Alligator mississippiensis: one gene and its partners. The protein of the gene in region 3 interacts with the protein of the main gene of each other region in a pairwise test. Links are inferred from orthologs where the notes say so. Each region holds a gene or a part of one and is shown on either strand. Other genes may lie near its edges.

Evidence for each region.
Region 1: the proteins of PPP1CB (region 3) and PPP1R3B interact in a two-hybrid assay, tested with the Homo sapiens proteins (2 studies listed by BioGRID and IntAct). The link is inferred for Alligator mississippiensis from reciprocal best matches to the Homo sapiens genes PPP1CB and PPP1R3B.
Region 2: the proteins of PPP1CB (region 3) and PPP1R3C interact in binary tests that used the Homo sapiens proteins (3 or more experiments, as listed by UniProt). The two-hybrid records come from large-scale screens. The link is inferred for Alligator mississippiensis from reciprocal best matches to the Homo sapiens genes PPP1CB and PPP1R3C.
Region 4: the proteins of PPP1CB (region 3) and PPP1R16A interact in binary tests that used the Homo sapiens proteins (3 or more experiments, as listed by UniProt). The two-hybrid records come from large-scale screens. The link is inferred for Alligator mississippiensis from reciprocal best matches to the Homo sapiens genes PPP1CB and PPP1R16A.

The regions. Positions count from the first base shown.
Region 1 is NC_081825.1:141,790,498-141,798,412, reverse strand, and holds the start of PPP1R3B (protein phosphatase 1 regulatory subunit 3B), read right to left. Parts: upstream 3,001-7,915; 5' UTR 2,903-3,000; coding exon 2,889-2,902; intron 1-2,888. UniProt on the Homo sapiens protein: Acts as a glycogen-targeting subunit for phosphatase PP1. Facilitates interaction of the PP1 with enzymes of the glycogen metabolism and regulates its activity.
Region 2 is NC_081829.1:68,911,954-68,919,283, forward strand, and holds the start of PPP1R3C (protein phosphatase 1 regulatory subunit 3C), read right to left. Parts: upstream 3,015-7,330; 5' UTR 2,882-3,014; exon of another isoform or gene 2,492-2,881; intron 1,369-2,491; 5' UTR 1,368-1,368; coding exon 420-1,367; 3' UTR 1-419.
Region 3 is NC_081824.1:176,137,291-176,144,735, forward strand, and holds the start of PPP1CB (serine/threonine-protein phosphatase PP1-beta catalytic subunit), read left to right. Parts: upstream 1-4,445; 5' UTR 4,446-4,672; coding exon 4,673-4,724; intron 4,725-7,445. UniProt on the Homo sapiens protein: Protein phosphatase that associates with over 200 regulatory proteins to form highly specific holoenzymes which dephosphorylate hundreds of biological targets.
Region 4 is NC_081826.1:1,681,268-1,689,062, reverse strand, and holds the start of PPP1R16A (protein phosphatase 1 regulatory subunit 16A), read right to left. Parts: upstream 3,012-7,795; 5' UTR 2,931-3,011; exon of another isoform or gene 2,927-2,930; intron 1,710-2,926; exon of another isoform or gene 1-1,709. Other genes in the region: forkhead box protein H1-like, read left to right, coding at 7,143-7,376. UniProt on the Homo sapiens protein: Inhibits protein phosphatase 1 activity toward phosphorylase, myosin light chain and myosin substrates.

The DNA of each region.
Region 1 (7,915 bases), on a different chromosome or scaffold from region 3:
TGTATGTTTTAGCCAAGCCTCTATGCACACTCACACAGTTATTATTATTCTGTAGGTCATTTCCTTCTGCTAACCAATACTGCCTCAAATATTCACAATCCCTGTTATCTACAGCAGCCCCATCCACATTACAGGGTCCTGCCGTATCACAGTGAAGCCTCCCTACCATTTAAGCACTTCTCAGGAACTGGAGCAATGTTCCTAGTGATAATTCTCAATTAGCCAGTTAATATATGAATACCTTCTGTATTAAGTATTAGAAGAAAGCCACAGCTGAACAACACCCTCAAAACATAATTTTATAAAGTTAGAATCAAAAGTCTAAGTTCAGGCAACATCTTATATTAATCACTAAAGACAAGCCACTGAGCCTATAAAATGCACTGCTATTTTCAACTAACATTTTATAAATCTGGATGGGACTTCTTGCTCTGGATTGAACTGGAGACACTGGCTATAAAAGTTCCAAGATGATTAGATACGGCTCTGCTGAACCACCTTAAATGGAAAACTTTTGCCTCCCTTGTAGGTCATGGACTCAAGGAACTCATTAATGCTCGTCATCAAATTTAAAAACAAAGGGGTTTAAAAATCTGAAGTGAAAGTTGTTATATAGGCCTCTTTCCAGTGAATCAGTTTTGAAAGTAAAAATAGCATCCATTTACAGGAATGTGAAGATGGGCATTTAAAAACACTGGCAACTTGATGGCATCAGTTTTCAAGTCTGAAGGTCTTCTGTCCAGTTTTCAATGCCTTTGCCCATCACAAATGTCAGAACTTTATTTGTTCATTAGTGCAGATCCAGAAGCAGTTTCTCACCTCATGCTTTCTGTCCTACTTGCTTGCAAAAGATTAATACGGCATCAAGAACTGACTAGCAACCTTTAAAGCACACTGTGGGTGGACTAGCTGAAGAAAGTTTTGGAAATACATTACAGGTTGCATGGTAGATGGTTATGGCTAAAAAGCATGAACAGCCTTAGCTATTTTGGGTCCTGACTTGAAAGAAGGAACAATTAGTTTCACTTTCAGAAATTATTTTGATACCGCTTGGTAATTTAGCTGTCATTTCAGGCATTCTTCAGGCCTGCTAGCCTCCTCACAAATCCTCCTTCCAACCCTCTCAGCTCGTCTTAGGCCTCTCCCAGACAGCTGGAATCAGATAGTAATAAAACTATTCAACACCTTCAGGATCTCTGGAGGTGGGCTAACTACAGAGCCCAGTACAAACTGCACTGGTGGCTAGTGGTCCTCTGCAACACAAATTAAGACGACAAATTTTTTTAAACAATTCCAACCCATAAACAATTCCAACAGTGCAGAATGTGGCCCTCCTCAAGGAAGACTCATCCATAACATGGGCACTGTGATCATGTCTACCTGCAATACCACAAGGCAGCTGCTTTCTGGATGCAACTTGCAGTTGCTTGAGAATTAGCCTATCTGCCAGGAGTGAAGCTTGGAGATAGCACTAGGTGTCATCAGTAAGAGTCCCATACAGAAGGGTGACTGCCAGTCTTCTCCCCAGGCATGCCTGGTAAAACACCACAAACCACTAAAGAACGCAGAAACAGCAATGAACCTTGCAGGACCCAGAAGTGGCAAACCATTCTTTTACACAGCAAATAATGAGAGAGAGAGATTGGGAAGTCTGCTATCAAACAAGTTGACAAGGACAGAAGGGAAGAGGTAAAACTCTGAAACTCGGTTAACCACCACATGCGTTTGCAATCCAGGAGAACAATCAAGCTAGTGCAGTTTCAGCCTCTCAGAAGGAGTTCCCAACAGCATGAATCCCCGAAACAAAAGCCACCACCCACCCCAGAAAAAGCTACAGGAAGAGGCAACACCTTTCATTCACATAAAGAACTGCTTGGCAAGTCAGATGGACAACATGCTCACCCTAGTTATACAGCTTGCTCTGGACTCAAGAGCAAGACAGAATAATTTGTGGAATTTAGGCGACTGGTTACTTGCTCTTAAAAAAAGCAGTTGCAGGGTATTCGCCATTGCAAAGATGAATTAATTTGGCAGAACAAAGTGCTTATCAATAGAGACTGCAGTCACTGGGACCTAGGGCTGCCCTGCAGCTTTTAAGCACTGGAATAAAAACCCCTAGGCAGATGTGGATCCGGATGCTATGTGAATTGTCTTCTCCCTTTTTCTACAGTTTAAGAAAAAAACTGGCATGCACTCAAGCTGCAGTACCAATTTTTGGCAAGTTCCTTGTGGTCTGCATTGCAGATACGCCCCACAGAGCCCATGTATTTAAGGCCAAGCAAGTATTCCCATTTCAGGGATTAACCTCTCAGCCATTTCACATGGAGCGGAGCTAGAGTTTAGCAGGGAGAGCACTGACATGTTTCGCTGACATTTCAGACCCCATGTACTTATATGGGCACTCCAGTCAAGACAGCTCCTTCTGAAACCATCCCAAGCAAAGCACTGCTGTACCCCAACCCCGGCCCATTTTTCCCCCTTTAAATTGTAAGCCTGGCTGCTTTGAACTGCTGCAAGGGCAGGAGGGTCAGGAGTCTAGGGACTTCTGTGGGAGTCTCTCTCCTTGAGGAAAGCCCTGCAGAGCACTGCCAGAGCCTTAACCTGGGAGTCAGGAGGGAGTCTCTTCCTGCATTTCCCCCTCATTTGCACATACACTTGGAAAAAGTTTTTGCAGACGGGGCTACACAGAGTGAGGACACCCATCCACTCCCTTGAGACCTCCGAGACCGGGATGTAGCCCAAGGGGCGCAGGGGCAGCCATCTCCTCCCACCTCACAAAGCAGGCTGCTCCCTCCCGGCCCCCAGCCTGGGACAAAGGTGGATATCGCCGCCACCCCAGGGACCCCGCTGCCCCCCCAGCTCCCGGGGGGCTCCGACCTCCCTCCTACCTGGTGCAATGCATGGGTCCGGCGGGGGCCTGGCGCAGGCCCTAACCCCCAGCGCGCTACAGCGGCAGATGAGACCAGCCGCCCCGCTGCTCCCTACTTCTTAAGGGCGCCCGGGCGTTCCACCCATGGAACCACACCGCAGCCAATGGGCGCGCCCCGAACCCGGCCGGCCGGCCAATGGCAGACCGGCTTCCGCGTGAGCGCGCAGCAGCCCGGCACGTGGACACCAGCCTGGCTGCGCCCGGAAGGCGCAGGGACACGCCCCCTCCGCTGGGCGGCTCTCTCCTTCCCCTCCCAGGCTGGAGGGGTGAAGGGGGGTTGCTTCCCTCCTTCCCCCAGTTGAGGGGGCCCCCGCACCCGCCTCAGGAGAGGGAGTGAGCGAAGGCAAGATCCTCCCCCCGCTTCCCCAAAATGCAACGCCTTTGCTCCCTAGGCACGAGGTGGAAGCAACCCGTGGCTCCCCCACATTTGCGTGCGCAAAGCGAGGAGGAAGGCAAGGCCGTGGGGGGCCGCTCCCTGCTTAGGCTTGCTTTAGAAAGCCTGCCTGCCTCTGTCCCAGCCACACAGCTGGTCCAATAAAAGACCCCCTCCAAGAAAAAGCTGGCGTGCATTCAAGAAGCCCCCTCGCCTGGCATCAGTCCTGGCCTCTCGCAGCTGCAGCATCTCCCCTGCTGCGCACGTGAGCGCGCGCGGGCCCTGCCCTGCCCTCTCCTCAGACAATGAAAGAATTGCTTTTGCAAAAATCCAGTTGGGCTAATGAAAGACTTCAGCTCTGCCACCGACTCCTCTCCTCAGCCCGCACTTCCCCGCTCTCCCACTTCAAGAGCCTCAGTTGCCTTCCCACCCATTCACCCGTTTGCTTGTAACACCGTCACATACCCAAGTGTTCTTCCTCAGTCCTGCCTGCGCTAAGCTTCCCCCCACCACCAAAAAAAAAAAAAAAAAAAGCATTACATTTGAGGCTGAGGACGGGAGCCTTTACTTTTACTGGGAAATCCTTGTCCTCACCCAACAAAAAGCTAACCTGAACTGAATGAGGGTTATAACCGGCCTGCTTGCGCCCATTCATACAATCAAGCATTTGAGGGTTGTTGGTTGTACAATCCAGCAGTTAAGGAACTTCCTAGCCAGCTACCCTGCACTGTCTTCTGTCAGTGTGGGTGTAGATAGCAGAGGCTAACCTTAGTTATGGGAGAGCAGAGTCTTGTGACTGAGCAGGCTTATTCTAGACACATTTTTTTTTCCAGCCTGAGTTTATTGATGGGTTTTTAATTCAAGGGAGCTAAAGCAGGAGTTGAGATGAGTATGGACCTTCCAGGGTAGGCAGGTTTGTGCTTGGTCTTGGCAAACAGCCTTGGCAATTTTATAAATTCATTTTTAAAAAAGCCTAGTATTTGGCTTGTTCTCACTGCTGAAAAAATGGGAGCGTAGCCAATATGCCGGAACTCTCCGTAGGCAAAACGCACAGCAAAGACAAGGCACCTTTGAGTGTTGCCCGGAGGTATATTCCCCACAGCTTTATACCTCCACTTGTGGCTGACTTTGTAAGTTAAATACATCTGTCGCAGTGACTACAAACCCACTGCTGTGCTTTCACCCATGTACAAGAGGGAACTTGTCCCCTCCACAGTGCTGTGTTGCTGTATTGATAACTCGTTACAGTTTGCAGCGGTTGTTGATCCAGTTATCACATAGCACTTCAGCAGTGGATTCAAAGGTAATTACAGAAGCTACAATGAAGCTAGAAAATCTTTAGCTCTATTTATTCACAGTTCCCATTTTGCAACAGGTGAATCAATAACCAAACTCAGTGAATTTTTAGCCTTGATGTTTTATGTACATTGTTTTAGAGCCAGCACAGCCAAGTCTAGATGAAGGTCTCCAGCCTTATTTTTTCTGAGCAGCCAGTGTTTTGTCTCCCTTGGCTTGCCTGCTGGCACCTGGGAGTATCCATCCTCTCCAGATGTGGTCTCTGTTTTGATATCCAAGTACACAATTCACATTCCTAGCAGTCCAGCGCACTGCATTGTCTTTGTGAAGTGGGTACACAAAATAGGCAGGAATTCTAAGACTTCATACATGGCTGAGAGGGGAAAAGGGGGCAGCTCAATGTTTATATGGAGACATCCTTTGAAAGCCTAAAGGGAGGTTTGCATCAGAACGGAGTCTGGCACGTGTGTTCCCCTGACTCAGACCTGATCTGCTTGCTTATGTGGAGCATGGCAACTCTATAATTCACCCCTACTTTCTGGAGCTATTTAGCCCTGCCGCATGATCAAATATCCCTGGGGCTTATGTGGCAGGACTGAGAGACCGGAAGCTGTAGCTACCTACCCCTAGCACAGCTTGGTATGCATCAGAGCTGGAAAAGTGTTGCCTCATCTGCCTGTGTTCATCCAGCTCTAGCACAAGCTCCCCCTTCCTTGATAACTGCACATGATCTTTCTGCTATCTTACAGCTTACAACATACAGCCAGAACTAAAGAGCTGCACCCTTTCTGCTGACATTTGCTTTTAATTAACTTGTGGGAACGCGCACAGTCATTGTTAAGCCCTGGGCTGAGGAGGAGTAAGTTACAATATCATACACTTAGTGGTTCTGTAAAGTAAAAGGGTAATCTCAGTGGAAATGATCTCTTGCTACAGCCCAGAAATCAACTGCTACATACATTTTAAAGGAACCAAGAAAAACTAAAGCATATTTACTGTGCAGGAGTCTTCAACTACAGAAATGACAGGGTATGGAGGAATGACAGACAGCACACTAGCAGGTTATGGACTGGAGCAATCTTTAGAGGGGATGTGGACAGAACCACTCAGAGAGCAAGTCTGAGATCTGGAAGCCAGTTATAAACAATTATATAATACATTTGTGGACCTCTGGACCCCCCAAGGGGGTCACCATGGTCCAGCTGAGTACAGGGCACTTAGCAAGGCACAATCACAATGCTGTTTGAGCACTAGCCAATTTCATTTCAGAACCCAGGGAGAGTTTAACTCAGACAGATGAACATCCTTGCTTCTCCAGGGCATGTTATACTAACTGCCTGGGGAGCCAAAAGTAGGTCAAGTGCAGGGTGTCACTTCCCTAAGCCAGGTAGGCAATTTTCCTCCCAGTCCCTGACTACACACCCTATCTTTTCAAAGCCAGTTTTCCTGCTGAGACCCAAGCATCAGTCTCTTCCTCCCCAGCAGGACAGGTGTGTTTCCTGACCTACAAAGCAACTGGCAAACCCTTTCCTACAGCCACACAGCTTGGCCACAAGCCCTTGGATATTAATTCCCAGGCACTTTTAAAGAGTTGCAGCAGAAGCTCACAGGGCTACAACAAAGTTAGCTGTTGACATTTAGCAAACTTTCACTTAGCTGAAATAATTTACAAATCCACTCCAAAGGCAAATTGTAACCAAATACCAATAAAGGACAGGTGACACTGTGGTTACATGCCAGCTCGGAGACTTAGGTTAATTTCTCTGCTACTGAGTCACCCTTGTGATCTAAGGCAAGTTACTTACAGCCAGATTTTTAAAGATGTTCAAACCTGTAGAAAGCTGTGAGTGAGATTTTCAAAAGCCTGTAGGTTTCAAAGAAGCCCCTTCCAAAACTATAGGAGAAACTCACAAGGAGCTCTGTAGACCTCAGACGATTGCATTTTGTCCTCCAGTAAATGGATGTGTTTGTTTTAACCCCAAGCGCTGCATATTTCACAACTGCTGCCTGGCAATTGCTGTCAGAGCAATGGTAACTGCACAAGGGCTTAGGGTGAAGCCCTATTACAGGTGGTGGAGAGCTTATCCACCTGGACAATGAGATAAGAGCTATATTTAGCTACTCTTTTTACACTTGTGTAACCTTCCTGGTGATCCTTTTAGGGTCCATCCACTCTCATTAAATATTTTTGTCTTAAGACTGGGAGGGAATCCTCTATTTCCTCAGCTCTTCCTTATGGCTGGAGGATGAAGAGCTATTCTATGACACAGGGTGTGGGTCCAAGACCAGACTCTAGGCCCAACACCTTCAAAGACTGTAGAGTCAGGCCCCAGATCTGCTTGTGTCACAACCCTAAGACTTGGGATGGGCAGAGAAAATCAAACTGGATGCAGATCCAGAGATAGATGCTTAGGCCTGTTGCTTCAGAAACAGAACACTTGAGTATTATAACAGGGTCGTTGCTGTTGTCATTGTTATTGTTGTCATTGCTATTATGTTATCATGTTATGATATGTTATCATCACACTGGAACTTTGTAATGTAATCACAGGAACATGATATTGGAGCATTAAAACTCCTCTAGTTCTGGTAAGCATTGCAAGAATGCATTAGTCAAAATGAGTTTTCTAACTTAATGCTATTGGATCCACTTAGTATCTTCCTGTCAATCAATCTTACTTGCACCCAGGTGCAATGTTAATAACCATATGCTGTAGCTTTGAATCTTCAAGACCTTGTGTGGTGTACTTCAGGGAATGCAGTTCTGTTGTACTCCAGAGCAAGTGCAAGGGAAACCTGTTTGTGGGGACTCCAGTTTGCTGTGAGACTGGCATTACACCACTATCCCCCTGTATGCCTGGCCTCTCATACACAAATTTGCACTATAACATGCAGTGGGGCTGGACTGGGAAACCAGCCCATCTGAGGAGATATGCTTGCAAGTAATATAGACTACTCTCGTCCAATGGAAAGGATCTTTACTATGTATTCCTCACTGAGGGTAAAACCCTCAACCTCCTGAAGTCAATAGCAAACCTTTCACTGACACCAGTGGGACGAGGATATTGCTACCGAGCAAGAAAGACCAGGATCCCTTCCACCTCCTCCCTTCTTGCTCATTGCCTTTTATCTAGATTCACTGTGCTTTGGACTTCCTTTGCTGCTTGCTCAAGTTTTAAGGAGCAAGAAATGAGTTCATTCTTTATAGTCAATCCCTAAAATGCCACTACTGTAAAACCCACCCACAGATCCTTTAATTCAAGGCAAAGAAGGGAAACAACAGGTGGTTGCATTTTTTCAATGAAATGAAACCAGCA
Region 2 (7,330 bases), on a different chromosome or scaffold from region 3:
TAGTGTCTTTCTTACCTAATGATTAAAGGCAAGTAAATATCAGAAAAAGTTTAGTATGTTTAACCTAGGCATGCTATATGTACAGTAGGTAACAAACTGAAGGGCTTGCTTTTCGTTTTTAAAAATGGGCTTCTGTTTATCCATGGGTAAGATTTTGGGCTGTGAGGTTCTTAAAAAACAAAAAAGAAAAAAAAAAGTAAGAAAATGTAGAAGTTAAGATGGTCATTTGCCTGAAAAGATGGATACAAATAAACAAACTTCATACACACACAAACAAAAAACTTAAGGCCCAAGTAGAAGTGAATTTCGATTTGAAAGAAGAATCAAAACCTACTCAGAGGTTTTGTACTATGTGAAGCACAGGTAGACTAACATTCTTCAGTTGTTGAAAGCAGGAATGTTCATTGGCTTGTAACTTATCACCAATATGGGGCTGAGTTTTCAATCCTGCCCCAACTCTGCCATGCAGGAAAGAGACCATTGGACATCCTTGGACTTCCAAACCGCTCAGCTTCATTTTCCTGTGTTTTCCTTGGAATGTTGTCAATGGCACGGTCTTTTTTGGTAGATGCTGGTACTTGGACACCATCAGGTTTCCATTCTGCATGGAGAATTTTATAGTTCTGACCCTCATTATTGTCCCAGAAGATGTGCTCTCCACTTTGGTAAGAAATGCAAAATTCAGTCTTCTCTTGAATGGGAATGGCTGTAGGCAGGTCAATGGCAAATGAGAAGGTATCACTATCGGAGTCTCCGTACACATTGTTCATGTAGACACAGTCAACATTGGTGTAACTTTTCCATGTATCAAAGGTAATCCGAACCTGAACCATTTTCTCAAAGCTGACATTTTTCACTTTCACTGTCCCCGATACTGCCCTTTCTTGCAGTGTACAATTTTCGAGGCAGACAAAATTCTTTTGCAACCGATTCCGGAAGTCTAAATAGTCAGCTGAAGGCTGAGAGAAACCCAGAATCAAGTTTTTCTCTTCATGTAGTTTTAAACTGGCTGTTATGTCCTCAAGATCTAACAAGTTAAATTGAAGATCCCATACAGGATGCTCCTGGAATTCAGAGAAGACGTGTATTGCGGTCAAAGAAAGCCCTTTTGAGTCCGCAAACACAACTCGTTTTTTGGCTCGGCTTGGTGAACGGTTCCAGTCGTTACTCTGAGACTCAGATTCTCGTTTCAAATTGAGACACGACCTTAGAGGCTTAAATCTGTTAACAAAGTTGTTTCTTTGACAGTCATCAAGGGGACTGAGAAAACTCTTCAGAGGTGGAGAATGGGCTAAGCATATTCTCATGGCCACATCAACAGGCATCATAGAGGTGGGCAAATGTCTTGGGTCCAAGATCTGTATCATTCTGAAATTGAGTGGGGAGACAGCATGTTAGGTTGTTTGCTACATCAGGTATACATTGGAAGAGAGCTTCCTAAGGAGCTCCGCATGCTTGACTTCATACAGTGTCCTAATTATTCAATGCAATACAAAAAACAAACTGTGGTTCAGTTGGAGCTAAGGAATTAGCATAAATCAATCAACCATTCTTGAGAATTCTGGATTGTTTGGATTTGGCCAGATTCTTTCATTTTTCCCAACAAACCTCTCTGCAAGAGAGGATTTTAAATTACACAATTATTCAAAATATACTTTCACCCCCCTTCCCCTAGCAGATATTCATATCAAAATATACTTTCACCCCCCTTCCCCCTAGCAGATATTCACGCATGAAAGAGGATTTTCATACACTAGTACAGATCTTGCTATTCATAATGAAAGGGTGCATCTGATTTAGAAAGCTCCAGTCAAAAAGGTACTAAGCAAGTTTCCATAGATTTTGGCAAATTGGTTCATCTGGAAATAACACTATATGACTCAGGTTAGATGCTATGTTCACATCATAAATAAAAATATTTTCAAGCCCGTTTGAATTATTCTAATGCACAAGAGGTCAAGCTCATTTGATTAACAACACTTTTTCACCTAGCTCTAAGTACTAGGGGCATACTGTACCTTCTTTTGGCTAATTTAAGTTATGCAAAAAGAATGTGATTCTCCCTATCCCCCCTCCCCCCCCACCTCAGTGCAATGAGATAATATAGCAGCTCTTAAAAATGCTTTCCTTCTGCAATCATCTTTAAATTCATGTGTAAGATCTACCACTGACCTACTGTAAGACTATAGGGGTTTTATGCTACAGTCTAATTATAAACCATCTCATCCCCTAGTGACTATTCAGGAAATACATCCTGGACGTATAGGTTTGTGAGCTGGGCTTCCAGTGCAATCCTTTTGACAGCTGTCGTGTATTCTGCATTAAAATCTAAAATTCTGTTGCGTCATAAGAAGTGAGAATATTTGCTTTGTCATGTTCAGAAACAGGTTTCTCCTTCCAGCACTTTCACTGGTACGGCAGAGCAGTGCGAGAAATAGGTGGGGGAGGATTTTTTTTTTTTTTTTTTTTTTTTTTTTTAACTAGGCTCCAAGTCTCATGGCTCTGGGCTGTTAGGGCAAGCAGTGGGGGAAGACAAGCAAGGCAGCACTCTTAGCTGAACGCAGCATATTCTCAGTCTCCGGGGTGGCATACACCCCACCGCCCTCTTGGAAGTTCCCAGCCCAGTTTTCTTCCCACAAACCAGCAATTCAAATCCCGACAATTCTGCTGCTTTTGCAGCCGCCTCTCCCTCGTTATGCTAAGAATGATCGAGGAGCAAGGAGAAGGCAGGGCGGGCCCCCAAGTCAGGGCCGCCTGGGACGGGGCGCTTTCGGGCCCTGGGCGAGAGCGGGGAGACGAGAGAAGCCGGGTGTCGGGCCGGCCCCGCCGCGCTGGCGGTCACAGACGCTGCCTGCCCCGGGAGCGGGTCCCCTGGACTTACCTGGCGCAGGTGATTAGCCAGCGCGGTGCGGCGAGATGCTTCTGCTCCGCGGTCGCTCGGGTGCAGGCTCTCGCTTGCGGCTCGCCCTGCCCGGCCCTGCCCGGCCCGGCCCCGCTCTGCTGCAGCGCCGCCCCGGCCGCTTATCTAGAGCCGCGCTGCCCCTTCACGCGGAGCCGCCCGCAGCCAACCCCGCCCCGCTGGCTCCGTCCCGCTGCCCCGCCAGCTGCCGCGGCCGCCCCTGCGGGACTGGGGGGCGCTCCCGGCCAGCCCCGGGGGCCCGCATGGCGGGCTTTCTGCCGACGCACATCAGCAGATTTCAGGGGGCGCATTGCCTTGAGGCGCCTCCCGGGGTGTGGGGATCATCACCGCACTTCCTTTACAAGCAAACTGCATTTCCTAAACGTGGAGTCGGGCCTCCAGGGGTATTTAGTGGTGGGAGCAGCTGTCATGGATATGGGCTGAAGCAGCATAAGCCCGCGGGGGAGGGCGCGGTTCTGAGGGGTCCCCACTGCCCGGTGCCAGAGGCGAGGGTCCCTTGTAGGCTACTGAGGAAAGCCCTGATCCGAAACATGGGAAGGGATAAAGTGCTGCTCCCTGTCAGCGCCCCACTGCTGTCGGTGGGCTTCCCCCTCCACGAGGGGCCTGCCCGCAGGAGCTTGGTTGCGGGGTGAACATCTATCCCCGCTTATTTTGTAGGACTGGACTGGGAAGCCCTGGGCTGCTGGAAGGAGGAGGTGTCAGGAAAGCAAGGGCTGTTTATTCTCTCCCCCCCAACACCTAAGAACATACGAAAAATAGCCCAACAAGCAAGTTCACTTGGTTTCTAAATGTAATATTTTTAACCAGCTGCAAAGTGAATAACAGCCCCTCTCCAGACAGCAAGCCAGGCAAATAGCTGCCATTCGTTTCCTAATAGAAAATGTAAATGATGAGGTAGCTCCCATGTTTGTATTTTTATATATATTTAACCTTAAAGTCTGCAAATACCAGCAAGTACTGTAGGATCGGGTGGAGGAATTATTTGCAATATATTTAAACACATTGACAAGAGACAGCATGTTGTGATATTTTGGTTTACAAAGACCTCCTGTCTTGCACAGTTTTAGCAGCTCCCAGTTTGATATCTTCTCTTTGAGGCTGCATTAAGGACTGAACCATTACCCAAGTGGGACCACACTTCTAGGATTAAAATGTAGCTTTTCTTAATCCCTTCTAGTCCCCTACAAACTGCAAAACTCCACCAAAGTTGTTTCCAAAACCACTGTTCTTGAAGAAACTTTTATTTTTTTAACATCTCTTCCCCACCCCTCACCCCTTTTTTTTCTAAGTCAGGGCACTTGAATCGTTTTATGTTTGAGAAAACATTTTTCGGAGCTGATTGCCCATGGAACTGCATCAGTGAAGGTGCTGAGCACAGATCTCTGAGAATTGACACTGTCACCTGGAGGTTCCCTGCTTAAGGAGATCCTTATGGCGATTAGCCTGGAGCTAGCAGTCTCCAGGAGTGAAGGAAGGAGGCAGCAGCAGAGTTACTGGCTGGATTTTCATTTTCAAACTTGAAGCAAAGTTTGAAAGCAAGAGGGCTAAGAGGAGTCTTTTTCAAATGGCATGTCCACAAGCAGCATGGAAGCATTCAGGGTTTGCTGTATGGGTACCCAAAGTGAAGTGAATTTTGTTTAAGCCACAACAGTGATTTTTGGAGTCCCAGCCAGAAGGGTCTGACATACTTAGAACAAAAGTAGCTTCCAGTCCAAGTTGTAGAAAACAAGCTTTACTGAAGAAACACAAACTCTGGTTGGCAGGGTCAAAAATCTCTTTGTAGCTGAATATAATTCCTCAGCCTTTGTGCAAGGTTCTCCACAACTCTTAATCAGTTAGGAAAAGTACTTTGGCATGTTGTAGAGGAGTAGACATGATTTTTATTTTCACATGTGGGTCAGCGTTATGTGAGAGTGCTACTGGATCTACAAAGGTAGTCAAGTTTCATTTACTATCTTTAGGTCATTTGCTTTTTTTAAAATTGTAGAACAAAATAAAATGTGTCAGAGAAATCTCATACAAAAAACTAGAACTCTTGGTTCCAAAATGATACCTTTTATTAGACCAACTAGAGAATGGCAAGAAAATTGTCCTTTTCTGCAAGCTTTCGGGAATCAAAGTCCCTTTGTCAGGCTCTGGGAAAAGTGTAGATGGTACAAGATGGTAAAAAGTCCCCATAGGTCGGAAATAAACTTCATTTTTGCACAGAGGGAGCTGAAGATGGAAGTCTGTCCCTCAGAGAAATCTCAACATATGCAGAATGAGCAGAAGAAAATTACTTTATTATGATGTGGTCTCCTTGCCTTTACACACCACAAAAGGCCCTCTAGCTGAGATCATCAGAGTAGTTGTGCATGTGTGTGCACATGGGGTAGTACTCACCAGGAGTCTCACCATCAGCAGGGAGGAGGTTTTGCAGAGTGTTCTGCAGCGCTATTTGCAGCAAAACCAGAATTGCAGGGATAGACCACAAGCCAGGTATTCCCCCAGCCATATGGAAGCAAGTGATGACATCTGTCTGGAAGTTGGCAGTCCCCAGTGGCAATGCCTCCTAAGTAAACCAGATCCGTATAGGCAAACCTCCCGTGGGTGTTGCCATGCAGGAGGTATATTCTACCAGAAAGCTACTGTCCCTATGTGTTAATGACCCCTAGGAAGCTATCAACAGCTTTACACATATGGGAACATGCTGGAATGTTCAGACGCTGCCCCCTAGGTTTGATTCAGACTCTGATTTATGGAAAACAGCATTACTAAACTATGAATTGGTTAGACTCAGAATTGACATTGCTGCATTATCAGCAACTTGGCTTTCAGATACAGGTTCTCTCCAAGAAAATAATTACATTATATTCTAGCATGGGAAGGTATCAGGAGAAAGGAGAGCGCAGGAAATAGGCTTTGCTATTAAAAACTTACTATCTTTCTGTGAAAGCCCCATTGCTGTATCTCTTAGACTTATGACACTCAGAGTGCATACACAGAACAGCTTCATAACGTTGTTTAGTGTCTATACACCTACATTTTCTACCAACAACTTGAAGAAGACGTTGAGAAAACTCACAAAAATTAGACTGTAATAATACTTGGCAACTTCAGGGCAAGAGTTGGATGTAGTTTTAAGAAATGGCCTCATATTCTGGGTGAACACAGAATTGGTAATATGCATAAAAATGGCCAGTAAATGTTAGAACTTCATGCAAGTCAAAAATCTGTGCAATTAAACTAACCCTGACTTTGCTGAAAAAATCACAAGAAAAACATCATGGAAACATCAAGATCAGGGCACTGGCACCAATTAGGTCTAGTACTGCCCAGGCATAACAACCTGAAAGAAATCCTGAATTATGAGGTTGTGTCACAGTGCTGACTGTGACACTAACCATGCTTTAGTCTGCTGGAAAGTCAGAATCAATGTGAAAAGATTCACCATAGCAAAACTACCAGTTGTCCTCAGATAGACATCAGCCAAACTAAAGGCATAGAAAAATGTTGATTATTTCATGAAGAAATTGCGATAGCAAGTTTACCTAAGCTCAGTCGCCAAGGCTTGAGAAAGTTTAAAAACCAACATGTACAATGCTGCTGTAACCACATTTGGCAAAAAAATTCAAGAAAAATGCAGACTGGTTTGACAAGCACTCTGAAACCCTTCTACCACTGGTTAAGAACAAAAAAAGAACAGCACTAACCAACTATAAGAAATGTCTCAGCACCATAACTCTGGAAAATTTGATTTCATAGATTTCATAGACATTAGGGCTGGAAGGGACCTCGAAAAATCATCGAGTCCAGCCCCCCGCCCAAAGGGCAGGAAGTCAGCTGGGGTCATAGGATCCCAGCAAGATAAGCATCCAGTTTCATCTTGAAGGTGTTCAATGAAGGCACTTAAACCACCTCCAATGGCAGGCTGTTCCAGACCTTGAGGGGATCACCCTCACCCGGACTTCCTGGCCCTGTAGCGGGCATGGTCGTCCCATGGGGCTGATGAAAGACTGACGCAAAGTACCTATTTAATAGGTTGGCTTTTTCCTGGGCGTCAGTTGTCAGTTGCCCCATCTGGTTCAGCAGGGGTCCAATGTTGCCCCTGCTTTTCCTCCGGCTCCCCACATATCTGAAAAAGGACTTTTTATTGTCCTTGATGCTCAAAGCTAGCTGGAGTTCAGTTGCAGCCTTGGCTTTCCTGGTCTGCTCCCTACAGGACCAGACCAGTGCAGAATAATCCTCCTTGGAGGTGACTCCCATCCTCCATCCTTTGTAGGCCTTTCTTTTTAGCCTCAGGAGGTCTGCTAGGTCCCTGGAGAGCCAGGGGGGCTGCTGTGCCCTCTTGCTGCCTTTCCTCCAAGATGGAATAGACTTAGTTTGTGCATTGAGGATCGCTCCCTTGAGGAGCAACCACTCTTCTTGAAC
Region 3 (7,445 bases):
AGGTGAAAGTAAGTCTGGACAAGCCAGCATAATACTTATGGCAATGACTAAACTTATTTCAAAAGTTGAAGCAATGGTCTGGAAATGGGTATAGGATCAGTCTTAGAGTATCTACAATAGAGAATGTAGGGAGGTAACATAATTAAGGAGCCCCACCTCCCAACACACTTTTATTTGTTTATCTCATTTGAAATGTTGAGTCCTTTGTGGGTTTATAAAAGCCCAGAGCACTTGCTGGTAGAATAGGGGGAGGGAAGGACATTGAAACAAAGGGCATTTACAGTAGCAGGTCATACATACAGTTGAGGAGAGATCAATAAAGAGAAAAGGATGATTGGAGACAAAGGAGGAAATTTTAAAATAACAGAAAGGAAATTAAGAAAGAGGAGAATGATCAGTGGAAGTTTGCCAGAAGCACCAGTACATGCTTAACTCCACTCAGAACACCAGTAAAATACCCTGGGATTCATCCCTGTTTGCTGCAAGTGGCTTTTCATGTCTTCCTGGTCAATGAGAATGTTGCTTTAAGTCCAAATGCAGCATTTCTTTCTGTTTTGTGGGAGATGATGAGCCTAATTACTGTATGTACTGAGTTAATTCCACTGATTTAATGCAATCACCCCATTATAAAACAATTATAATACAAGAGTAGAAAATCAAACCCAATGTACTTAACTGAGCTTTTCAAGAACGCATATATATTAGCTATTTGGTTTAGCACATGATATGGCGTTAATATAAAAAGGAAGATGCATGAAAAGAGAGTTTGTAACTGAAATCAAGAAAATAAAAAAGCAAGGGATTTCCCCATGCACCTATCTTCAGTCTTTGTTGTGGGTTCTCTGTTGCAGCATCTCTGCTTGTCCTGTCCTTTGATTTTTCTGGCATTCCACTGAAACATTGAAGAAACATTTTAAAGGGCCTACTATATAAAGCTATCACAATTTGGGTTTTGTTCAATGTACCTTTTAGGTTTGTTGGCTTTCGGATTTTTGTACTGTTGGGCTCTTTGTACCACTGTGTCACAATGTGACATCTCTATCCTGTTGTCATACAATGGCCTATTACCAAGCAACATCATCATGTCACAGCTTAATGTCATGATAGCTTAAACCATGGGAGTCAAATGCACCCAGTCTCATGGGCCAGAGTATGGGCGTGGGGCCAGCCTGCATGCTGGATTAGCCCCACAGACTGGTCCCATGTGCTGGATCCAGCTCTCATGGCTGGTCTAGTGCAGCCTCTGCATGCAGCATACACCATGTGTACTGCTTGTAATGCAAACACTAGCTCCAGACCTGCATGCTGCATGCACACACCTCCTGGTCCTGTGTGCAGCATGCAGTACGTGGGGCTGGTCTGGCATGCCTGCTACACACTGGACACAGTGCTGGTCTGGGGCATATGCCACATGTGGTGCCCACACCAACCCAGTCCTATGGGCCAGATTCAGCATGCAGGGTTGGTTTGCGTCCCCATACCGACTGGCCCTGGATCTAGTGTGGAGGGCTGGTCCAACACAGATGCTGCATGTAGTGCGCATCCCAGACCAGCCCCATTCTATGTGCAGCCCATGCCAGACAGGCTGTGTACCACATGTGGCTTGCAAGGCCAATTCCAGTGCATACTGCATTGTAGCAGGAAGCACTGCAGGCCAAATGATCCAGCTTCATGGCCTGGATCCAGCCCATGAGCTGTGTCTTTGACATCCCTGGCCTAAACTAACATTCAAGGAAGTTTAGTAGCGTGAATTGCAAAGGGGACAAAAAGTGCAACCTCTGGTAGCACATCTACTGCATTTGGTAGCCATGAACCAGTTAAAAAAAAAAAAAAAAAAAAAAAAAAAAAAAAAAAGAAAGCTAAATAATCAGGCTTTCTAACTCTCAGCAAAAAATGAACAAAGATTTCCAAGTGTCATTTAGCCCCCAATGTTAACATAAAGGTCTAAAAAAGAGTTTGTATATGCATATATGCTTTCAGCAGATGAGCTGAAATGACATTTTATTATCTGCCGTTTGCTAATGGGAATAAAAAGTCAAACTTTGAGTCTTTTTATAATTCTGAATCCTCTTGTTTTAGTATACTCAGCAAAAATACATCCTCCTCCTACATATCAAAAGAGCCTCTCCTCATGTTAGTGTTTGGGCACCCCAACATAGTCTCCCACCTATTCATCACCTTGCCTTAAGGATGTTTCTTAAAATGTTGCTCAGACTTGCTTTTCCCTGATCATGATGTGAAAACTGATTCCTGAAGATTTCTTAAGATAACATGACTTTTCTGGTTGGTGTGTATTGATGGAAAAATTCAAATGTAAGTTCCTAGAGACATCTAGTCTGATTCTATATTTAGTCATCTAAATAGTGACTTGATATTTCTACCCAGGAGAACTTTTACAATTTTTTTTCTCCAATGCCTGATGAAGGATGTTTGTGCCCAAAAGCTTGCAATTAAATAATTTTTTTTTTTTACAAAAATCTGGTTGGTCTAATAAAAGATATCATCTCTACTACAAGTCCTGATTGATATTTCTAGATAATTTACAGTTTACTCAGCACCAGAAAAAATAACTACTGTTCAGCTGGCTATATGTAGATGAGCATGTTATGTCTCTTTTCATGAGAAGAGTTTAACTGCTACTTTTAAAAGCATTTTTCTGCCCATGCAAGTAAGCACTTGTTGGCATGTGCATATACTTAAATGGTTTTCAAGAATGAATCTTGAAAAATATTTCAGGAATGGAAAAAGAATATAGTGTTTAAAGGTCCTATTCACACTGCAGCCCAGACCTTTCTGATTAGGCTATAGATTTTGACAACTGTGTTAATCATTGGTTTAGTGATTAGCTTGGCATTCCAGCATTAACAACTTTTTTACAACAAACTATGAGCTTTGACAGGTGCAGGAGGAAGGGTGCACCTGTCAATAAGCAGCCTGTTGGGGGTCTAACATTTTCAACCCTTACGCTTTGAGGCAACTTCTGTTTAATTATAAGGAGAAATTCTCACGCAGTGACATTTTTAGGGGCTGAGGTACTAAGGAAAGCACCAAAAATCCCTTGCACCGCATAAAGCAGCTGAATGTGAGCTTCCACCACACCAATCATGTAAGGGTGAATTTACCTCGCATATAACACATTTTTGGTATAAAAAGGTCATCGCATAGGAGTGAATTCGCACATGGAGAACCTGTATAAAGCAGGGGAAACCTGTAGTGTGGTTCTCTGCACTAGATCAGGTATATCAGGCTGGGGCAGCACAGGGCTGGATCAGGGTACCTGTGGGCTGGCCCTATGCCACTCATCTGGCTGACTGAAAGGTTGCGCACCCCTGCATGTATGACAGGGGCAGGCAATTATTTTGGGCGGAGGGCCGCTTACTGAGTTTTGGTAAGCCATTGAGGGCCACATGACAGGCAACCAGGGGCAGATAAATATTAATTTTCTAATTTTTTTAGGGGCCCCGTGGGCCCGATAGAATGGCCTGGTGGGCTGCGTTCAGCCCACATTTTGCCCACTCCTGGTGTCTAATGTGTGCGTGAACACACAGCCAATTTCTGCACTTCAGCCAAACCAGCAGTGCGGTGTACTGGGATAAAATGCATGCCCACAGGACTGGCCCCATCCAGGACATGCAACTTATCCAAACAGCTCCTTCAGCATGTGGAGCTGTCAGGGCTGTGCCACGAACAGTCACCGAATTGACCTGTTCCCACCATTTTTAAGGCATCTAATAGCAGCCCTTCAACAGCGACTTCCCATTCCTCTTTTCTGGCCCACCTGAAGGGAACACAAGTAGCCCGCAGGATGCACAGACGTGGTGCCAGCTCAAAGGATCAGGTCAGGGGAGTACCACTGAGCTGCCAGGCAGCATAACCTCGCCCTGCGTGGCATCACATCGGGGTGCTGCAGTGCGAACAGGAGGCAGCAAACAGGGCTCACACTGTGTTATGCACTGACACTACTATTTGTGCACTCGGCCCGCGGGCAGAGCAGAGGGCTGCCCCGCCCCGCTCAGGCCCGCCTGCTACCGAGAAAAAAAAGCAAAGCCGCACACGCATGCGCACTCATCCTAGTACCGCAAGCGCAGCAGCCCGCCACGCCTGCGCAGTCGGCCCTCAAGCAAAGCGGGGAAGAGGGGGGGGGAGCAGAAAAAAAAACCCTCCGCGCCTGCGCAGTCGGCTCCGAAGCGGGAAAACAGGTGGTCAGGGAAAAGCCCTCTGCGCTTGCGCAGTCGGCCCTCAAGCTTAGCGGGAGGAGGGTTGGAAAAAAAAAAAGGAGCCCTCTGCACCTGCGCAGTTGGCCCTCAAGCGAGGCAGCCGCGAGACAGGGAGGGAAGAGCCCCCTCCCCTGCGGCTGCGCATTTCTGGGAGTGCCTGGAGCAAAGCAGCCGCGGCAAGAGACGCGGGAGGGGGTTTTGCGGCGCATGCGCAGAGGCGGCCTCTGAGGCGGGGAGGAGGGGCGGCTGTCTCTCTCTCTCTCTCTCTCTCTCTCTCTCTCTCTCTCTCTCTCTCTCTCTCTCTTCCGCCCCCATTCCGCGGCGAGGGCGCGAGCCGGGCACAGTCGGGGGCAGCGCGGGAGCAGTCGGGCGGCCGTTGGTTGCGCGGGGCGGGGGGAAGCCGCGTTCGCCGAGGCCTCTCCACCCCGCCCGGCGCCGAGTCGGCTGGACACAAAATGGCGGACGGGGAGCTGAACGTGGACAGCCTCATCACCCGCCTGCTGGAAGGTGAGCCCCCCCCTCCCCAGCGCCCCCTTTTCCCTCCCCCCGCTGGGGCGGGGCTGCGAATCCCCTCTTTCCTCCCCGCCACACCTGGGGGGCAGTGTGTGTGCGGGCGGGGGGCAGTTCCTCAGGGAGATGGGGGGGGGGGCGCGGGGGACCTCGGTGCATGAGGGAATAAATCCTCCTGGAGATGGTGGGAAATTTGTTGCTGTCTTCTCCTTTGCCGAGGGGGACCTCCTTGTGCCCTGAGTATTCTCAGGGCTGGGTGAACGTCCAAGTATATGCCTAGGGCCCTAAGTGAGGAAGGGGCCTGCTTGTGCTTCTTCTATACCTATTATAATTCTGGAGTGGGAAAATTAAAAAGTAATATACACAGTATTAAGAAGGGGCCCACGAATGTGTTTGTGTAGGGTCCACTAAAGGGTTAAATCCAGGCCCCAAACATCCTTGTTGTAAAGCTTCCCCCTGTTGGGGTGGGGGGGTCTTGCCTTACACCCTGCCACCCACCTGCAAGAATAGGCCACTGGGGCAGAGGGGTTGGGTGCACGGTTGCACAGGGATGGGCAGTGAATAGGAGTTGCGGCAAGGCTGCCAGGGGTGTTGGTTCTGCCTTGGAGAACACGTAATGCCAGTAGTTTCCCTCTGCCTGAAGAAGGGTGTTTGTGCCCAAAAGCTTGCAAAGAACAATTTTTCAACTATTTAGTTGGTCTAAAAAAAGATATATTACACTTACCCAAAGGACCACGTCTGCCTATGTCCTTAGACCAACACGGCTACAGTCAACAACCACAGAATTTAAGATGTATGCAATAGTAAATTCTTCATAACATATTTTTAATTAAATACTTATAAATCTCATGTGTCCATTATATGTAAATGCAAAACGAATTGGACATAAGTTTCTTTGCAAGTGGTTTTAGTCTGATGCCACGGACTAGGTAGCTGTACATCCAGCAGGTAAAAGATCTGGACTTTGTACTATGAGCCCCTGGGCTGTAATCTGTGCCCCGTCCTGTTGGGGCTGACGGGGGGGGGGCTGTGCCAGGTTGTTGTCTGACTTCATAATGAGTAAACAGTGAAAATCTGGGGTGCTGATAGATGGAGAGCGTGCGCCTGGCCACAAGAGGGTTGTTGGGGGTAGTTCTGCTAATATGTTTGTGCTTAGTGTATTGTTGCAGGAGGCATTTCAAATGCTTGTATTTGTCCTTCGGTGGAGTGTAAATATTTGTTGGCTGGGCAGATGACAACTTACCTTTTGAGTTGCTTGAAATCTAAGAATGTTTATCAAGTAAGATTTTCTGTACAGGCCCCTTTGTGACCACTTAACATGCACTTTCCAGCATAAGCTCCATTTTCAGGGATTAAAGACTTTCCGGCCTGCATATATACATCTTCCATACATAGGGGCACTGGTAAATTTTGTCCAGGGTAGTAATCTATTTTTTTTCTAGTTTGCTTATTTGTATTCCTATTTAATTGATACAGTTTATTAAAATATTGTAGAACCACTTTTTAAGCACTTGGTTGTCTCGTTTTTCTTAGCTATCATTTATCTTAATAAAGTAAACCATGAAACTCCATGTATACAGTAGCTGCTTTCCAAAGAAAGTGCATATCCATATTTAAAATAGTTGGTAAGACGTAGTGTTTCCAGGGGTTTCATATAACAACTAAACAAGATCATAGCCATCCTAGGTTTGGACCAGTCTAGACTGTAGTAAGCAAATTTGTGTTAAAAATGGCAGTGTATTTGTTTGAAAACTATTACATTTTTAAAGACAAATTTGTTCAAATGTGTGTTGTGCTGTTTGTAGGTAGTCAGTGTTTTCTGAAGCTGTTTTTAAGTTTGATTTACTTAATTTAAATTATGCAAAAAAGGTAAGGAAAACCTGTCTGGCTTGTAGCAGTAAGAGTTCTTCCTCTCCTCCTCCCCCCCCCCCCCATTTTTGTTACCATACTGCTAACCAGGGGTTCTTTTAAGTTTCTTCCTTGCTTCAGAAAGAGAATCTGTCCTGAGAATTTGTCACGGTATCATCTTTAGCTTTTAAAATTACTTGGTGTGGGTGAGGATTTTTTTTCTTACATTTCTGTTTTACACTTTCTGTGCTACCAGTATGCCATAAGATGAGTAACAGTTTGAGTAACGGCATCTTAACTCAGAGGTTTCTTTTATGTAATCAAAGATGCTTACTAAGTTTACAGTTTAGTATGGTGTTGCTGGGTAGTGCTCTTTCTTTCTCTCTCTCTCTTTTTTTTTTTTTTAAGTATCAGTGTAAAATGTGTTTTGAGTGGGGGGAAAAATGGTTTGTTAAATTGCTCTTCGGCTGAAATGTTTTTTGACAGATCTTCATTTTTTTTAATAGGTTTAACTTGTAAACACAGAGTTTTAAAGTTTCTTTTTATCTGTCTAAAGGGAGGGTGTTTTATATGGCAGCTGAATTTACAGCCCTGTCAAAACCCATTTGCATTAGACATATCAAAAAGATGGTCTTTGCCTCAGAACTCCGTGTAGCTTCAGGCTGTACACTTACTGGTTGAAGTCTGTTGTAGTTTTTTTATGCCCTGTCACAAATGTTAAAAAAACCCATGTCTTACCAATGTACTTCTGTTAGCAAGAGCCCCAGTAGATGCAGTTTTGCTAGCAAGAATAGTTATGTAGTTTGCTCAGTATAATTTGCATTTCCAATAGAAGCAGCGAGGATTTTTTGGGGGGGTGAGATCTTTTTA
Region 4 (7,795 bases), on a different chromosome or scaffold from region 3:
TCTGCAAATAATCAAGCTGAGCTATCTACCTTCCCCACTTCCACACTGGCTCAGCTGGGGGCTGGGAAGAGCCAAGGAGTGAGAGCAAGCCGTTTGGACAAAAGCCACAGTAGTCCTTGGGTCCTTGTACTGCACCAACTGCGAGCTTGTGTGATAGTCGCTGGAGGGCCCACCACCCTTCTCCTGCCTGACCCTCCACCTCTCAGCAGGGCTTATCCCTGGTGCTTGCAGAGAGACGTCCCAGAGCCTGCCATGCCCACATTCCCACACGCCAAACCTGGAGACGTGAGGTGTCCCCTGCAAGCAGGGCCATCACAGAGTCCCTGGCACCTGTGCAGAGGCCGGGGTACAAGGCCAATGCTTGGGACTGGCTTTCAGCAGTGTGGAAAACTTAGGGACACCAGGGACCTGCCCCATTTGAGATGCAAGCTCAACACAGGGAATGCCCCCAGAGCCGGGCTTTCTGCTGCTTCACCTTGTCCAAGCATTCACAAAGTGTTTAGACCCAGCTTTGCGCTAAGCAAGAGCTGGACGGTCCGAGGAGCAGCGCTGCGGTTCTCGGCCCTGGGAGGGCCATCTCGGTTCTGGGAACCGCAATACCAGGACAAAAACGTCACCACACCAGGAGAAAAACAAGAGCAACAGAAGTGACTGGGCCTCGAGATCTTTTACCGGGGATCGGAGATCAGGAAACACTGCTCAGCACTGAACTCTGTAGTCTGTGGAACGGTCTGTCAAGGGGGAAGAGTGGGAATGCATCCTGTCAGTCACCTGAAAGGGCTCTAGGGAGCTGTACGGTGTGCTGCAGGAAAGGATCCTGGCACAAAACGTGATGAATTCATAGCAACCACAGAGCTGTGGGGCTGGCAGGGTCCTGTAGGGGCCACGTCTAGGCCAGATCAGCCCTGTCCAAACCATCCCAGGCAAACCCCGCGTCCGACCTCTGAGCAGCATGACAATTCCAGAGAGATGCTGCAGCCCAGACACCAGCCCTTCGCCTCCGGGTGATCAGCCCTGAACAGACTGAGCACCACATCCCAGCTGGGCAATAGCGACGCGCCCGGCCGAGGTTCGATGCACACAGGCCAACTACTGAAATGAAGGGCAGAAGGGCCTGCAGGGTGGGTGCTCTGAACTCCCTGCCTGCCGTGTCAGGAGCATGCCCGGCAAGCCTCTCGTGACCCACGCAAAGGCACTCCGCTGACAGCTCATCTGCCTTTCCTCCTGAAAGCGCCATTGCACGGGGGGCTGAAACACAGACAGGAAATGCGTGTCATCATCACGCAAGAAGCCTTGGGCTTCTGAGTCCCTCACGGCCACCTCCCAGCCCAGCGAGGCAGAACTGAAGACTGAAAAGGGGGAGAAGCTCCCTGGGGAACAGCAGCCTGGAGGCCCAACCCACCTGGGAACAGAAGGCGCTCGGCCAAAGCCGAGGCCAGAGCAGAGAGGCCGCTTGGAGACAACACACTGCACGCCAGCCAAGTCCCGGGGGGCCTTCCTCCACTGCCCCGGCCTGGGACACAATGGCACGTCTGGCGCGTGACAACATCTGCGTAGAACGGAGCAGATTTCAGCTGCTCCCAAGCGCCAGAGCAACAAAGCTTCCTGCTGGGAGGGGAGCAGGACCCCCCACAGGAGCGGGGCCAGGACCAGCGCCTCCAGGGGATGCGAGGATCAGATTTCTGGGGAGTTTCCCTTGAGGGTCACCACACTGCTGGTTTCTCCCCGTCTACCCTCCTGCATCCGCTCCCCCCCGCAGCACCCCGAATGCCCCTGCCACGCAGCTGCTGAGTCCGACCTCTTATTTGCCCTGCTTGGTCAGTCCTTCCAGCCCCAGACAGATTTCTGTTGCTCTGCCCCGAGCCCCCCCATTTATCAGCACCTTCCTGGCGGCGCGGCGCCCGTGCTGAATGAAAGAGTCCAGGGCTGGTGGCACCAGAGCTCCCTGCTCGTGCAGCGCCGCCGTCGCGCCCAGCCGGCAGCAGCTCCGGCGTGCTGCACGCTCCTCTGCTCTGCTCCCAGCGTGCACGATTAGGCCCTGCATCGCATCTCCTAATGTCCCAGGGTGTGTTTTCCTGAAATCAAATACCCTCGTGCTGCTGCCCTCTCTGAACCCAGCCATTGCAAGGAGCCCCACAGCAGTAGTCTGTCCAACTCAGCAGGAAACAGGCACCAAGCTCATTCAGACGGGGGGCCGACACCGGCCGGGGCAGTGCCCTCTGAGGTGCCAGAGGGGCAGCCAAAGAGCGCGACCCCTACCCCGAGCCCCCCAGCTGCAGGAGACACCCCGCTAACGGCACGCGGAGGCACCGCGCAACCCCCGCCTGCCAAGTTCAAAGTCCGGGAAGCAAAAGTCCTCGCGGCTCTCAGCTGCAAAACCCTCCTCCGAGCCCCCGCCGGCCTTAAGAGAGATAATCCGGCTGCTCGGAGCCGCGCTGCCTCCTCGCTCGCCACGGGCACGGCGAGGGCCGTCCACCCGTAATCCGCCCGGCCGCATGCCGCAAGCACGTGCCGTGACGATAAGGGCTAAAGCAGCGAGCAAACGGGCGAGCGAGGGGGTGGCGATCGTGCCGCTTGACCCCGGCCAAAGCCGGACGCTCCCGGGCTCTGGGGTGGCAGCTCGCCCGGCTCATGGCGGACCCCCGTCTGGGGGGGAGGGGGTGCGGCCTCCCGACCGGCCCGCGGGCCGCAGCAGCGCGGTGCTCAGCGGGGGCCGGCGCGTCCAGGCCCGCAGCCCCGCAGGGAGTCTCGACCGGGTCCTGCACACCCTTGCAGGGGTGCCGCAGGGCGCCACGCAAAGCCAGCGCTGTCAGGTGTGCAAACACCATTCACAAGAGCCCGGAGAGCTCAAACACACACGCGGCCCCGACCCCGCAGCACCCCCATGGGACCCCGTGCCCCGCCGCCGCCGCCGCCGCGCACGGACCTACCGGGCCGCTCCCCTCGCCGGGGCGGGTCCCCTCCGCCGCCCCTCGCCATGGCAACCGCTCACACTTCCGGCCGAGGCGGAACGCCCGCCGGAAGCGAGTGCCGGCGCCATGTTGAGTGTGGCGGAAGCGGCGCCCCTCCAGGGGGGCGGGGCTCCCCCAGCTGGGGGCGGGGCCAGGCAGCCCCCAAAGCAGTGGGGGCCCAGGAGATTATAGGGGAGGGAAGGGGAGGGGGGTTCAGGTTTGTGCCCCTGAAGGTCTGCCATCCTCTGCTGGAGCGCTGGGCAGTGCCCTGGGGAGGACTGGGCCCGTCAGGGTCGGGGTCAGGGGCACACTGACCCCTGAGAGCCTTTTGGGGCACGGCGCCTGGCAAGCGTCCCGCAGCCAGCAGTGTGGAGCGCGCCAAGCACCAGGCGGGAGACCCTCCTGGGGTCCCCGGCGCTGAGACCCGCTTGCCCCCCGCATCCCGCCCCGTTCTGATGCTCGGTCTGCCCCCAGCCCCCGCTGCCAGGGGCCGCTGGGGTCCACGGCCCGCCGGCCCCGCTCGGCCCCCGGGCGCGCCCCCTCCCCGAGCTGCCTCGCCGCATTCTGCTGACCTCACAATGGGGCAGCTCCACCCTGGCAGCCGCAGCCCCGCGCCCCGCTCTGCCCCGCTCTGCCATGGCCTGGGCTGGCCCCCCCGGCGCCGGCCCGAGAGCGGGGCACCACGGGAGGATCGACCGGTCCTGGCTCCCGGCTGGCTGCGAGGACGAGGACTGGGAGACGGAGCCCGACTCCGTCCCCGACGCCCCTCGGAGGGACGAGGGCTGGGGGGAAGGCGGGGGGCCCCGCTCCCACCGCTCAGCGGCCTCCGTCATCTCCGGTAAGGGCCTGAGCTGCTAGGGCCGTGATCCCTGCAGCTCCCCCAGGAGCCCGGGGCCATGCCGCGCTCGGAGCTGTACATCCGCAGCGGCTGTGCCGGGTTTCACAGGGATCCTGGTGAGGGGGGGGTGCAACGGGCCAGGGGAGCGGGGCCAGAGCGGGATCGTTCCCAAGCATCCCCGTTCCGGCCCCTCCAGACCTGTCCCGGTCCCTGCGCGACTGCGAGCTGTCCTGCAGCGGGGCAGGGAAGCCTGGCACCCCCCCCGGCCCGGGCAGCAGGACACGGGGGCACGCGCCTGTGCCCCCCAGCGGGGCCGTGCCGTGGAGCCGGGGCCCGGAGCCCCCGCCCGGCCGTGCCGCCCACACCGCCATCGAGCGCGTCTCCGTCTTCGAGCGCAACGTGGCCGAGAAGCTCGACTCCTTCTTCTACGCCAAGCTCCAGGCCGGGGAGCAGGGGCCGGGGCCCAGCCCAGGAGGCGCCTCGGGCACCTACGAGAACCTGGACGAGGCACCTGGCAGGATCGGGACCTCTGGGGCAGGAGCACGAGCCCGGCAACGGGGCCGGGACCCTTCCAGCACGAGGCCGTGGCCCCAGCCAGGCAGGTGGGGGGCCGAGCCAGGCCAGCCAACACCCAGCACCAGCCACAGCAGCAACGCCCCGTCCTGCGACTGCTGCCAGAGGGAGCGTCGGCTGGAGCCCGTGGGCTGGCGCGAGCCCCAGGAGGCCCCGGGCACCCAGGCGGCACCACCGGCCCCAGGGGCAGGGAGCAGTGAGCTGGGCGTGGGGGCATGCCCCCGGCTCCTGCCCCGCTGCATGCTCGCCCACCTGCAGAGCTGCCCGGCTTGCCAGCGCCTGAACCAGCACCGCGGGGCTCTGCCGGGGCCGGGGGGACCCTCCAAGGACGCCTGGTCCCCGCGGGTGCTGGAGCAGGACGAGGACAGCGGTGCCAGCCGCAGGGCGCCCGCGCGGCGCCCGCTGCAGAAGAGGCTCTCGGAGGTGCGGCGCTGGCTGGAGCAGATGGCGGACGAGGAGCCGGAGTCTCCCGGGGCCCCGAGCTGGGCCTGGCCCGATGCCTCTGGCCCAGTTGACCCGGTCGAGGCCGGGCACCGCGGCCAGCTCCCCCAGCCTGCTGCAGCCCCGGGGGGCAGGGGGCTGCGGAGAAGGAAGTCCAGCACGCAGCACCCGGCGCGACACCAGGTGAGGGGGACGGGAGCTCAGGGACCCTTTCCAGCCCCAGGATGCAGAGGCCCCATGTCCCACCCCGGGCACCCCTTCTCGCCAGCCCCAGGGACTGGGGGTGCCAGGGGGCACCGGCAGTGGGGCCAGGTGCAGCTCCTTGGGCTCGGACACCTGTGCAGGGCCCAGCCCAGTGCGTGCTGGTTTGTGGGCAGGGCTGGGAGATGGTGCCCTCGGGGTCTCGGGTGCTGCAGCCAGGGTCTCGGGTAGCAGCTGCGGCCCCGGGGGGCAGAGGGGCAGAAGCTGGGCACTGGCTGCAGCCCAGGCTGGGGATGGGGCTGGGCCAATGCTCCTGCTGACACCAACCCCGCAGGGTCCCGGCTGGAGGGTCTTGCCCCCGCGCTCAGGCTCAGCCCCACTGCACTGGGGCAGAACGGGATTTCCCCCTGCTCAGACTGGTGCGCACTGGGGGGTTTCCCCTTCCTCTGCAGCGGGGGCACGGCCTGGCCTCGGCTCTCTGCAGCGCCCACAACCCCCCTGGCAGTAGCAAGGCGATGGTGGCCGCAGCCCCCCTGTATCCTGGGGGTGGGGGTGATGCCCAGGGCTGTGTCAGGAGCAACTGTCATGTGGCTCTGAGGTTGGAAATGGGGTTTGGATGGGCCTGATCCTGCCTCAAGGCTGGATGTGGTCCCGCAGATCCCTGCCAGCCTCACGGCTCTCTGATCCTCAGGACCCTCCTCTGCCGCAGCCTGGCACCAGCCCCCGCAGGGACGAGGAGTTGCCCCCGGCCGTGGCTACATGCTCCTGCCTCTTCTGTGACCACCCGCGTGGCCGTCAGGGGAGACCAAGCCCTGGTGTTGCCGCCCAGCCCCTGGCCGCAGCTGGCCCCTCAGCCCCGGATGTGGCACCACAGCCGCAGGTCGAGCACCACGTCCAGCGCATCGTGGCCGTCTTCGAGCGGCGCTCGCGGCGGGCGGCACGATGGGGTGAGGAGGTGCCAGCTCAGCGGGCACCTGAGGGGGGCACTGGGGCTGCAGAGCACAGCCAGGACCGGCCCCGGGGCCACTCGGAGCCACCACGGGAACACGGGGGCACTGCACCAGGTGAAGAGAGAAGCCGGAGCTCGCGGAAGAAGGGCGAAACGGTGCAGAGGGGCGCAGAGAGGCGCCGGGGCCCACGCTAGCTCGGGCACGCGGGGACGGGGCAGGGTGCCCCGGGAACAGCGCCAGGGGTGCAGCAGTGCCCAGACGTCGGCCCGGAGCAGACGGAGCTTGGAGGGGCACGTCCCGCGGAGGCCGGAGGGGAACCCCCATCCCCAGGGAAGTCGGAGGCAAGGACACCGGGACCCTCATGCTGCAGCCTCTGGGTGCCCCGGGCTCGCTGGACCTGAGCCAGGGGCCAGAGCCGGGGACCACGGCGCTGTGCACGGGCAGGGCCCATCAATAAAGCCTAAGCACCCAGACCTGTGTCAGCCATGGGGGCCCGTGATAGGGGATGGGCTGTCCCTCCCCTCCCCTCCCCTCCCCACACGTGCCATGCATGTGCATGCATGTAGCTGTCCGTATCATGGGTCTCAGGGTGGCTGCAAGGGCTCTGGAGCAGCCGGGAGCACGTCCTGGGAGCCCCCCTCTCGTGCCCCAGCGCAGAGCCACGACCGATGCATGCATCACGGGATGGAGGGTGGCCTGGAGCCAGTCCTGTACCCCATTGTGGGGGGTGGGAGCTGGGACCTGCCCTGGGGGGCTCCTGGCTGAGCAGTCGGGGTGGGGGTGCTGGCTGGGAGGGTCCCGGCTGGACCCAGGCTGGGCATGCTCCCCGCACAGCCCCGGCCGGGGGCCTGGGGGAGCTGGGAAGGGGCAGATGGGTAGCAGGCTGTGTGCCGGTGGGAGTGCCACGGACAGGGCAGTGCCCCCCTCGCCCCCCAGCCAGGTCAGGACCCCCTCCCAGCAGCCAGATTAGCAGAAACCTGCGAATTGTTTGCTTGCTAGCCCCCTCCTCCTGGTGCCAGCAGCCTGTCTCCAGCCGGGCCAGGCTCTGATCAGCATGATAAAGCCCTGAGTGGATGGATGGAGGGGGCCAGTCGGTGGGGACAGGCTTCCCCACACCTGGAAGATCCCCACTGGATGGGTCGGGGCTGACCTTCACCTTCAGAGGCCCTGGGCACCGGCTCCCTGCCCATGGCCAGCCTGGACCAGAGCAGCCCGGAGGAGGGCACCAGCCTGTGCCCGGCGGAGGAAGCCCAGGAGCTGGCAGGGGATGGGGCCAGGCAGAGCCCGGGCCAGGCTGGCGGCAGGAGGGGGGGCAAGAGGAAGAAGAAGTACAGCCGCCACGCCAAGCCGCCCTACACCTACCTGGCCATGATCGCCCTGGTCATCCAGGCCGCACCCGGCCGCCGCCTCAAGCTGGCCCAGGTGAGCACCGGGGGTGAGACGGGCACAGGGGAGCATAGTGGGACGGCCTAGGCATCACCCCAATCCCCTGGGCTGGCAGCTGCAGGGGCTGCATGGACAGCTGGAGGTATCACACTGCACAGCTGGAGGCATCAGGGCTGCCGAGGCAGGAGCCACCCCCTGCGGGTAGGGGATGCCCCCTGCCCTGCTGCATGCAATGCAAATAGCCAGGTCAGGGGTCAGATGAGGAGAAGCAAGGAGGTGAGCTGGGGGTGGGGGGAGTCTTGCCGGGCCCCAGGGGAGCTCAGCGCCCGCCAGCGCCTGGGCCCAGTGTCCCTTGGATGTCTGGAGCTCTTTGCCGTCCGGGGCTGGAGAGGGATCTTCCCCCTCTCTTGCTACAGATCTCAGCGGGGGCTGAAGCCGCCCCCAGAGGCGCTGGG